3 linked regions of the Oryzias latipes genome follow. The protein of the gene in region 2 purifies or fractionates together with the protein of the main gene of each other region. This does not show direct contact. Links are inferred from orthologs where the notes say so. Each region holds a gene or a part of one and is shown on either strand. Other genes may lie near its edges.

Region 1 (3,755 bases), on a different chromosome or scaffold from region 2:
TGTGTGTTTGCAGTGTTGATGTTGTTGTGTGTTTGTTGTGTTGATGTTGTTGTGTATTTGTGGTGTTGATGTTGTGTTTCTGTGGTGTTGTTGTGTGTTTGTTGTGTTGATGTTGTTGTGTGTTTGTTGTGTTGATGTTGTTGTGTGTTTGTGGTGTTGATGTTGTGTTTCTGTGGTGTTGTTGTGTGTTTGTTGTGTTGATGTTGTTGTGGGTTTGTGGTATTGGTGTTGTGTGTTTGCAGTGTTGATGTTGTGTTTCTGTGGTGTTGTTGTGTGTTTGTGGTGTTGTGCTTTTTGATGTGGAGTTGGTGGAGGAGGACAGGTGGTTAGTGAGGTGCCCCCCCAGGAACCTGTGGACCTTCTCCACAGCAGCATTTATGTCTTTTCTATGAGACGCTTAATGTGTGCAGAGAAGTGGGTCAGGGTTTGAGACGGGTAAAAAGGCTTTTTTGTATTTGTAGCCTTTGTTGGTGTTGAAGAAAAAAATAAAAGAAAGCAGACATACTTTGTGGAGTCCGTGTGAACTTCCTAACCAATGCTTTCAATCCCAATATTTGAAACAGTTTAAAGCTCAGGTTCTGATCTTCTGCTGCAGCAGAACCGTTTGTGGAGTACTGAGATTTTGCGGCTCTGACTCGGTTTTGTCGGTAAGAAACTGGATCAAATGGATCTGTCAGAGGTTGCAGGTTCAGCTGTTGAATCAATAAAATCCTTCTAAGTACACACACTCACGCACACACACTCACGCACACCCACACTCACGCACACACCCACCCACACACACACTCACACACACACACACGCACACAGCAGCTGATTAGAAAAAGCTCAACTGTTCCTGCTGAGCCATCAGGTCAGAAATCTTTGTCACACCACTACAACTCCCAGCATGCCGTGCGTTCCTGTGACGTCATATTCTCGAGCCAGAGGTTTTCGCGCCTTGTGCGCCGCTAGGTTTATTGTCTGGAAGTTCAGTGTTGTTCGGTTCTGGGGGTTCCAGGTCGGCGGCAGGATGGGACCGGTCGAGGTGAGTTACCCGAACACGGACTCGGTTCGCGCGCACAGAATCCCGGTGTCACTTTTATCGAACCGAGCCTGAAGTCCGTCCACGGAGGAGGAGACTCAGACAGACGGCTTCATCATCCGAACCCCGCTCAGGTTCCGTTTCCGCTGGCGAATAAACCGTAAAGGAATACGGAGCCACAGAACCACAAAGTCCAATACCTGATCCAGAACCTTCATTCTGAACAGAACATCAGTAAAAACATTTGGTAGAAAAACCGCAGCGACTTCAGCCAAACGCAGCAAACTGATATTAATGGAGGCTTTATTTATGACACATCCCCTGGGGGGGAGGGGGGGGGGGTGTTACATCATGCTTCACGGTACACGCGTCCCGGTAAAGCGCTAATTAACTGGAGAGAAATTCAGGTTCGAGTCCCACTCAGGCTTCCTCGTCCATAGTATAACATGTTTATAAAGCTCCATATGGCTGTGATGGTCATGAACATCATAACCAACAATAATCCACCGACAGTCACCTTAGAACGAGCTGAATGACCAGACATGCAATCTAATGAATACATTTGTACATCAAATAACTCGGCTGATATTAGCGCTTTACCGTCTTTGTGGACCAGAAACCAGGATGTAAACATTTTACGCTAAAACTCAGTGACGGCTGGCCGGACCGCACTTCACCAGACCACGGTCTGGTTCCGATTCAATGTGACTGAGAAAAGAACCAAAGTTCTGGATGAGTAGCTGCTGTTCTGGATGTTCTAACCGGACTCTGGTTCCGCCCCCAGCTGCTCCACATGTCCGTCTTCTCTCAGAGCTTCTCTCCCTGCGGACGCTTCCTGGCGGCCGGGAACAACTACGGGGAGATCGGCCTGTTCAGGTGAGCGAAACGAGCGCCGCCGTGCACGGGCGGGCGGGCGCGCACGGCGGCGCTCTCAGCTGTGTCTCCGTCTCCAGTTTGTCAGCAGCTCTCAGCCCAGATGCCGGTGCCGCCAGCCTCAAACCGGTCCTGACATTCACAGGTGAGTCCGTCCGGCTGGACCGGGTCCAGGAGAAGGTTCTTCCGGTGATCGTGGTCCGGGTCCGGCAGAAGGTTCTAGTTGAACGTTGGGTCTCGTCCTGCAGCTCACGAGGGTCCAGTCTTCAGCCTTCTGTCGGCGGACGGCGTCCTGCTGAGTGCTGGAAACGGCGAGGTCAGCGCCTGGAGCTGGACCGAGCTCAGCAAGAAGGTGAGGCTCCTCGGAACCAGAACCCCAGTCCTCCTGGACCTCCAGGTGACCTCCTGCCCTTTGTCCTCAGAGCGTAAAGCCCCTGTGGAGCAAGAGACCCACTTACAGGTGAGAACACGCACACACAGACACACACAGACACACAAAGAGACGCACACACAGACGCACACGAAGAGACGCACACACAGACACACACAGACACACACAGAGACGCACACACACATAGACACACACACACAGACGCACACAAAGAGACGCACACACAGACGCACACACACAGACGCACACACACAGACGCACACAAAGAGACGCACACACAGACGCACACACACAGACGCACACAAAGAGACGCACACACAGACGCACACACAGACGCACACACAGACGCACACACAGACGCACACAGAGACGCACACAGAGACGCACACAGAGACGCACACAGAGACGCACACAGAGACGCACACACAGACGCACACACAGACGCACACACAGACGCACACACACAGACGCACCCACACAGACGCACACAAAGAGACGCACACAAAGAGACGCACACACAGACGCACACACAGACGCACACACACAGACGCACACACAGACGCACACAGAGACGCACACAGAGACGCACACAGAGACGCACACAGAGACGCACACAGAGACGCACCCACACAGACGCACCCACACAGACGCACCCACACAGACGCACACACACAGACGCACACACAGACGCACCCACACAGACGCACACACACAGACGCACACAGAGACGCACCCACACAGACGCACCCACACAGAGACGCACCCACACAGACGCACACACAGACGCACACACAGAGACGCACACACAGAGACGCACACACAGAGACGCACACACAGAGACGCACACAGAGACGCACACAGAGACGCACACAGAGACGCACACAGAGACGCACACACACAGACGCACACACAGACGCACACACAGACACACAGACGCACACACACAGACGCACACACACAGACGCGCACACAGACGCACACACAGACGCACACACAGACGCACACACACACAGACGCACACACACACAGACGCACACACACAGACGCACACACACAGACGCACACACACAGACGCACACACACAGACGCACACATAGACGCACACACAGACGCGCACACACAGACGCACACACACAGATGCACACACAGAGACGCACACCCAGACGCACACCCAGACGCACACACAGACGCACATACACAGACGCACATACAGACGCGCACACACAGACGCGCACACACAGACGCGCACACACAGACGCGCACACACAGACGCGCACACACAGACGCGCACACACAGACGCACACATAGACGCACACATAGACGCACACACAGACCCACACACAGACGCACACACACAGACGCACACACACAGACGCACACCCAGACGCACACCCAGACGCACACACACAGACGCACACACAGACGCGCACACACAGACGCGCACACACAGACGCGCACACACAGAC
Region 2 (3,655 bases):
CCAAATTACACCAATGACATTTTTCTGTGATTTCTCTGTAATTGTCAACGCAAACGTCAGTCAGCAGAATGTTCAAGTCAGTAAGCGTTAGAGTATAAATAACGGTAAATGTTACTGAACACAACCTAAAGATAAAACCCTCAAAGTCACTGTTCCACATTATTACACACAACCGAGTTCCACAACATTTGATAGATTCTAAAGAACTGAAAATGGTAGTTTGCTACATGTTCGTATTTACTGAAATGTAAAGCTATTCCAATCAAAAACATCTTCATAGGTCAAGTTCCATTTGAACACAGGACCCCTTATCTTGTAGTAGCTTCACAATTGTTGCATCTATTGAACTTTTTGGAGAGTTTCTGCTTGAATTTCTTTGATGTCAGAATATCCTCCCAGAGCTGCTGTTTGGATTTGAACTGCCTCCAACCCTCAGAGATATTTTACTTGAGGAATTCTCCAAAAGTTCTGAATAGGGTTGAGGCCAGGGGAGGATGGGGGCCAAACCATCAGTTTATCTCCTTTTCTGTCCATAGCAGCCAACGATGCAGAGGTTTTCCTTGCAGCATGGGATGGTGCATTGTCATGCATGAAGAGGATTTTGTTACGGAAAGCACGGTTCTTCTTTTTGTACCATGGAAGAACGTGGTCAGTCAGAAATTCCACCTACTTCAGGGACCCTAAAAGGGCCGACCAGCTCTCTCCCTATGATTCCAGCCCAAACCATGACTCCCCACCTCCTTGCTGACGTCACAGCCTTGTTGGGACATGGTGGCCATCTACCATCCACCCACTACTCCATCCATCTGGACCATCCAGGGTTACACGGCATTCATTAGTGAACAAGACTGTTTGAAAATGAGTCTTCATTATGTCTGGGCCCACTGCAGCCGTTTCTGGTTGTCAGTGTTGTTTGGCGAATAGAAGGTTTACTTAGAACTACAAGCCTCTGGAGTGTCCTACACCTTGATGTTGGTGGGTCCCCAGAGACACCAGCAGTTTCAAATATGTGCTTGCAGCTTTGTCATGGTATTTCAGCAGCGGCTCTCTTAATCCCATGTATTTGTCTGGCAGAAATCTTCCTCATTCTGCCTTTATCTGCAGCAACCCGTCTCTGTTCTGAATCAACCACAGATTTCTTAATAGTACAATGATCACACCTAAATCATTGTGAAATATCTAAGGTTTTTATACCTTCTTCAAGGCATTTCACTATTTCACGGTTCAGCAGCAGAAAGATCCTTTTTTTCTTTCCCATATTGCTTGAAAAAGTTGGTCTGCTTAATAATTTGGAACGTCCTTCTTTAGTTTTTCCTTTAACTAAACTCACCTTTTAAATGAATCTTCGCAATGTCTGAGACTGAAGTCAGTAAAACAATATCATCCATGAAAAACAAATAATTTCATCTTTTTATCGCTTCAATATAAATTGCATAACAACTGGAAACACTGTAGTGTGGTGTTCATGTCGTGTCGTTTTGGTTCCAGATGATAAGAAGGAGCCGGGGGCAGCGCGGCGCAGCAGATACTACATGAAGTACGGAAACCCCAACTATGGAGGCATGAAGGGCATCCTCAGCAACTCCTGGTGAGACTTGCAGACAAGTTAAGATGTTTTTAAAGACCCACAACAGGGAAAATGGTGTTTTTAACATGTTCTTAGAGCATTTTCTGATGTTTGAGAAAAGAGAGAGAGTGAGTGCTGGAATATAACTCCTGTCATTTATATAAGAGTTTTTCTTCCCTGTGTATTTCGTATTGATTTTATTGTGCTTCTACTACAACTGAATTTCCCTACAGGAATTACCTGATTTAACTCTAAACACGTGTTCAATCGTTTTGTAGGTAAAGCCCGGAAACAGTTGTAAAAATGTGTGTAGCTACGCGTGAACACAGGAGTTTGGAAGGCAGAAGCTGGAATCGTGCGTTTCCATAGACTTCTCATTGGAAGTGGTGACTTGAACAGAGCTGCATGCCAGGCTTGGAAAAGGGCTTCTAAAGTGACACAGAGGAAGAAGGATTCAATGGATTTAGTGATTTGAAGCGATGTATAGAGCTTAGCTGACTTGTGACTATGTTCTTTATGCAATGGTCATCTGAAAAATTGTTCATCTGTTGCGCTAATGTAAAAAATAAGTGCACAATAGCTACCAGCACAATGCCAAAGAGAAAAGGCAGATTTAAACAGATGAGTCGATGTTACGGAGGGCAGGAGGGAGAGAATTCCTGAGTTTGGGAAAAGAGTGGCTGAAGGTTTGGCTCAAACTGTTTTACGGTAGTGAAGTGTGTATGGTATATATTCAGTCTATTGTTGTTTATTCCTTTATTAGAATTTGCCTTTCAAGATGAAATGTCCGTTCTAGTTCCTATATTTCTTTGAATACATTTCTCCCAAAAGTGTGACTTGTATAGTGGGATAAAAAAGAATTTAGTCAGATGCTAATTGTGACACTTAAAGATATGAGAGAGGTCTTTAATTTTGCATCATAATTTTACCTCAACTATGAAAGATGAAATGTAAAAAACAAATCTTGAAAATCACATTGTCTGATTTTTAAAGAATTGTTTTGTGAATTATGGTGGAAAATAAGTATTTGGTCGATAGCGTAAAAAAGTTCAACTCAATACTACATTTTACCTTTGTTTGCAATGACGGCAGCCAAATGCTTTCTGTAAGTATTTTGGTCCATTCCTCCATGCAGATCTCCTCTAGAGCAGTGATGTCTTGGTGCTGTCGCTGGGCTAAACAGACTTTCAACTCCCTCCAAAGATTTTCTGTGGGGTTGAGATCTGGAGACTGGCTAGGCCACTCCAGGACCTTGAATTGGTTCTTACGAAGTCACTCCTTCGTTACCCGGGCAACGTGTGTTTGGGATGGTTGTCATGCTGAAAGACTCAGCCACGTATCAGGACGTTGACTGACAGTCTCTATTCTCCAAAGTTTCTGTTTGGTGATAAAGAAACAGTGAAAAGTGACATTTCTGAATGGAAATCAACACTTTTCAAACAATGTGTGAAATGACAAAACAAATGTGTGCACCAGACCCTGCTGTTTAGTAAAATGACACACCAAAAAGAACTTTAAGGAAGGCCGTGGCTCCCAACTGATTTGATTCTTGCAGATTGTTGACTTGCAGAGCAAATACATGGAAAATGCCAGAAAGAAAGGGAATATTCGCACGGAATTTTCCAAACACGTGCTGAACGTTTTTCTTGGCTGCACGAACACAAAGGAAGGGTTACGTTTAGGGTTACGGTTGAGCTGCGTTCACACCGAACGCGACTCGCTCGGCAGACAGAGACCCGCTGTGGGATGGGGAGCCAACTGGCTTGGGCCTCCAGAACTTTATCATATTTCTCTTATTTTCAGCGAGGCAAAAATAAAAAAGGTCCCCTGATTTTTCTTCTTGTTTTTATTTTTACCCTCTCTGGTTAATGCGGGACAGCAAGCCTTCAAACTCGGTCCTAGAGAGATTAAACCAACAACAAAATCCAGCCTTGGACACACTTGAAATGCGTGCGGCGGGCAAAGCAGCAAAGTGCCTTCTTCCCTCGTCTCTCACTTGACCTTGTGCGCCCTGGACGGAGCTTGTGACATCACAGCAGCTCATTAATTCAAACCGATCGTCTTTGTTACAGTTTGATTGACAGCAGT
Region 3 (3,755 bases), on a different chromosome or scaffold from region 2:
TTTGTTATTTCTTTATAATAACGTGCAATTAACAGAGGTAGAGTTTACAGACAAACAGAGCCATGTAGCTCAGAAACAATCAATGTAGGAAAGGTTTCAATAAAAGAACAAGAGGGAAACTTTCTTTTTTGTTTGTTTTCTAATTAGGTGAAGAAGTTGTTGGTCTTAAAAATACTACTACCTTCAAATCAAAACAATAGAGTTGCATTTATATTTGTTATTTACATATTTCAAATGAATGTGAAGGAAGAATACAATCATGCATTCTCGTGCAGGGTGCTTTTTTAATCCTTATTGTAGTATGAAGAAGAGCAAAATTTTGAATAATACTTTGAATTGCTATCTTTTTATGCAAAATTAATCTTTTGAGATCAAATTAATTTCAACTTCTTAGCAGATTTGCTGACGTGTCTCATCAAAAAGAGATCCAATTTGTATTTATAATATGCATATTGAGAGTTCAGGGTGTTGTCCAATTTAAGCATTCATTATAATAACGTTTCTTGATCAAACTAAGAAAGTTTTCTTTAGGTCATAGTCACATCTAAATAAAAAATCAATTCAATACAAATTTCATTTGAAATATGAAACCACATTTTTGTTTGTTTAAAGAAGTGCCTTAGCCTATTTGTTTTCAATGTAATTTAAAGTCTAAAAGTATTTTTTTTTATGTTATTCAGTTTCGTTATAGAGATATAGTTAAAAGTGTTTGATTTAATGCTTTGATTGCTTCTTTTAGTGTTACTATGAACTGAACACACCCATGTATGGCGTTTTTTAGGAATAATGTTTTAGTTTCCAGTAGAGGGCGGTAAAGAGTTGTTGTAGTTTTTAACGTAATGACGTCAAGAGTACGTGTTCTCCAACCAATCAGCTTTTCTACAGCTTGTGGGCGCTTTTCATTGTGCTTAGTACTTGGACCAGAGAGCGTAAATCTACGGACGAAGAGAGGGAACAGCTTAGTCCAGGGTGTTTTAAGACAATTTAAATCTTTACAGTGCTTTAGAGTTATCGGGGCAGCATAATGGCGGATAAGATGGATATGTCTCTAGACGACATTATCAAGCTGAACAGGCAGAGTAGAGGCGGAGCCCGTGGGGGAAGAGGCCGAGGCCGCGGAGGCTCAGGCGGTGCCCGTGGAGGAGGCCTTGGGCGTCTTGGTGGTGGCGGCGGCGGATTTGGAGGCCGAGGCGGAGGATCAGGCCCCATGAGGACCCGACAGAACCTGAGCCGCGCTAGAGGCAGACCAACGCCTTATAGCAGGGTATGAGAAAGTTAGACGAATGGGCATTGGAAGGAAAAAAACCTTCGTCAAAGCTGAAAATTCCTGGTTTACGTCTTCTTTTCTCCATTTGGCTTGACGGCTAATCACCTAGCTAGTCAAGCCATTAAAATGGTTGCTTACCGCTGAGTTTCCCTTAGAGGAGAGCTCTATAGTTTGTGGATAAGCATAAATGGAGGTTGTTTGCATAATATGTCCCTTCTCCCACAACCTATATGTGTCGCACCACTTTTCAAGAAGAAGCTGCTTGAGGAGCGACTATGTTAGCCACATTGGCTAACCTGCCGGATCGTGAAGGTCTCAGCGCCATTTTGAATCCAACAACCTCGAATACAATTTGGCGTCAAAATGATGTTTTACCCCAAGTGTCGTAATGGTCTGGAAAGAAAAGGATGCCTACATCGCTGAGAAGGTTCCTGCACGTTTTTTCCATTGCTACGGAATCACATTCCTTCCAACGTCCTGCTACATCTTCAAGGCGGCCTTTTGTCCCAGGAATGGCTGACGGGGTTTCTTAAAATCCCACCCAAAAGGCTTTTCACCAAATGTCACATATGGATGGATACGTGGACTCATACTTAATCCCCTCAAATTTCCTTTATTTTTTTTTTTTTTTTTGTAAAAAGAAGCCCAATCTTCACTCCTGGGGTGTGAATGAATATAAATGCAACCCAAACAAAGCCCCGATCAAAATGGCGTGGTTTCAAAATGGACGTCCGCGTACTCCACGCACTAAAAAGGGGGCTATCGGCTTCTTTCCCCCCAAAATGTTCTTCACCTGTAACATCCTAAAGACATTTCTTCATGAAAGTCGAATTGTGGCCTGACAAAGGACTGTTGTGAGCCTGGACAAGCGGCGCAACGCGGGATGCGAGGCTGCTTCTGCCGGGGACCCCCCCTCGTGTGCCTGAGGAGCATGTCGACAGACAGAGCAGTTGGTGGAGTAGCAGATGGCAAGAAACGACGGGGTTATGCTAGCTAGTTTGGGGCGGATTTTTGGTTCATGTAAAGATTTTTTAAAGTTAATGTATGAAAATGATTAGTTTAAATATCTGTCAGCTTTTTGTCTTACTTTACAAGTAGTAAAACATTGAAATTTTCTGTATCAAAACACCAAAATAGCTATTTTTAAATTTGTGTATTTCTGTCTGAAGTGATTCACGTGATTGTAACGATGGGGTGGGCAGGGATCATGGGGGGGTCTGCTGAGCACCCTGGCCGTGTTGGAAGTGGAGCACCTGCTTGCACCAACACCCAGCCGTGTGGACTCTGTGAAAGACAGAGGCAGGGGATCCTGAAGTCAGCAGGTGCGTTCTCTTTCGTCTGTTGCAGCCCAAACAGCTTCCCGATAAATGGCAGCACGACATGTTTGACAACGGCTTCAGCGGCTTCAATGGGGCTGCTGGAGGTGGCGGAGGAGCTGGTGTGGAAACGGGAGGAAAGCTCCTCGTCTCCAATCTGGACTTTGGGGTGTCAGACGCAGACATCCAGGTACAACTTAGCTAGCATATCTGATGGTGATGTTTTTTTTTTTTAATTGATGACTTAGTTTTGACTTTTTTTTTTTTTATCGAAGGAACTCTTTGCTGAATTTGGGACTCTAAAGAAAGCTGCAGTTCATTACGACAGATCAGGAAGAAGCCTTGGAACGGCAGATGTCCACTTTGAAAGGAGGGCAGATGCCCTGAAAGCCATGAAACAGTACAATGGCATTCCTCTTGATGGTATTCTTCTACTTTATTACAGATTTATTTAATTAGATAAATACATTTAAATATTAGTTGATCTTCCCAAGATTAAAGCCTAATTTGTGTTTAGGGCGGCCTATGAACATTCAGCTCGTCACATCACAGATCGACACACAGAGGCGGCCTATGCAGGGGTAAGTAAGCATGGATTCTTGGGAAACTGGAAACAGGCTGTTGTGTAAACCCCAATTACATTTTCTTTGTGTATTTGTTTTGTTTTACCAGTATGAACAGAGGTGGTGGAGGCATGAGTAGAAATCGGGGTTTCGGAGGGATGCAAAGAGGCCGAGGGGTCCGTGGTGCAGGTGGTCCCAGAGGAAGAGGGCGGGGGGGGCGCGGCGGTGCCCCCAAGCAACCGCTATCGGCAGAAGAGCTTGACGCCCAGTTAGATGCTTACAATGCCAGGGTACATCTGTCAAAATAGAAAGCATCTTCTGTTGAAGTTGTTTTGCAGCTGTCCTAATTCTGTTTCACCTCTTGTTTTCTCAGATGGATACCAGTTAAGGAAACCTCCCATCCTAGTTGACGTCATCCCTCCCTGTCTGCACAGAAAGGGGTGCTTGTTACAGATGTGCAGAATATTTTACACTTGTCTTCTGATGTGATTGAAATTGTTCCAACCTCTTCTTTTAAATACTCCAAAGTGTTTTTTACCAAGTGTTTTATTTTTGTTTTAATTTTTTTTTTTTTTTTGATCGAATGGTTTTACTGTAGGTTAACTGCTG

The links.
Region 1: the proteins of ncbp3 (region 2) and thoc6 purify together in Homo sapiens (co-immunoprecipitation; 3 studies listed by BioGRID and IntAct, with this or other methods). This does not show direct contact. The link is inferred for Oryzias latipes from reciprocal best matches to the Homo sapiens genes NCBP3 and THOC6.
Region 3: the proteins of ncbp3 (region 2) and THO complex subunit 4 purify together in Homo sapiens (affinity purification with mass spectrometry; 4 studies listed by BioGRID and IntAct, with this or other methods). This does not show direct contact. The link is inferred for Oryzias latipes from reciprocal best matches to the Homo sapiens genes NCBP3 and ALYREF.

What each region holds. Positions count from the first base shown.
Region 1 is NC_019866.2:289,563-293,317, reverse strand, and holds the start of thoc6 (THO complex subunit 6 homolog), read left to right. Parts: upstream 1-874; 5' UTR 875-889; coding exon 890-1,027; intron 1,028-1,808; coding exon 1,809-1,900; intron 1,901-1,977; coding exon 1,978-2,042; intron 2,043-2,145; coding exon 2,146-2,249; intron 2,250-2,319; coding exon 2,320-2,357; intron 2,358-3,755. UniProt on the Homo sapiens protein: Component of the THO subcomplex of the TREX complex which is thought to couple mRNA transcription, processing and nuclear export, and which specifically associates with spliced mRNA and not with unspliced pre-mRNA.
Region 2 is NC_019872.2:24,111,408-24,115,062, forward strand, and holds part of ncbp3 (nuclear cap-binding protein subunit 3), read left to right. Parts: intron 1-1,488; coding exon 1,489-1,588; intron 1,589-3,655. UniProt on the Homo sapiens protein: Associates with NCBP1/CBP80 to form an alternative cap-binding complex (CBC) which plays a key role in mRNA export. NCBP3 serves as adapter protein linking the capped RNAs (m7GpppG-capped RNA) to NCBP1/CBP80.
Region 3 is NC_019866.2:15,369,759-15,373,513, reverse strand, and holds the start of THO complex subunit 4, read left to right. Parts: upstream 1-877; 5' UTR 878-1,024; coding exon 1,025-1,264; intron 1,265-2,614; coding exon 2,615-2,773; intron 2,774-2,858; coding exon 2,859-3,006; intron 3,007-3,100; coding exon 3,101-3,164; intron 3,165-3,255; coding exon 3,256-3,436; intron 3,437-3,519; coding exon 3,520-3,534; 3' UTR 3,535-3,755. UniProt on the Homo sapiens protein: Functions as an mRNA export adapter; component of the transcription/export (TREX) complex which is thought to couple mRNA transcription, processing and nuclear export, and specifically associates with spliced mRNA and not with unspliced pre-mRNA.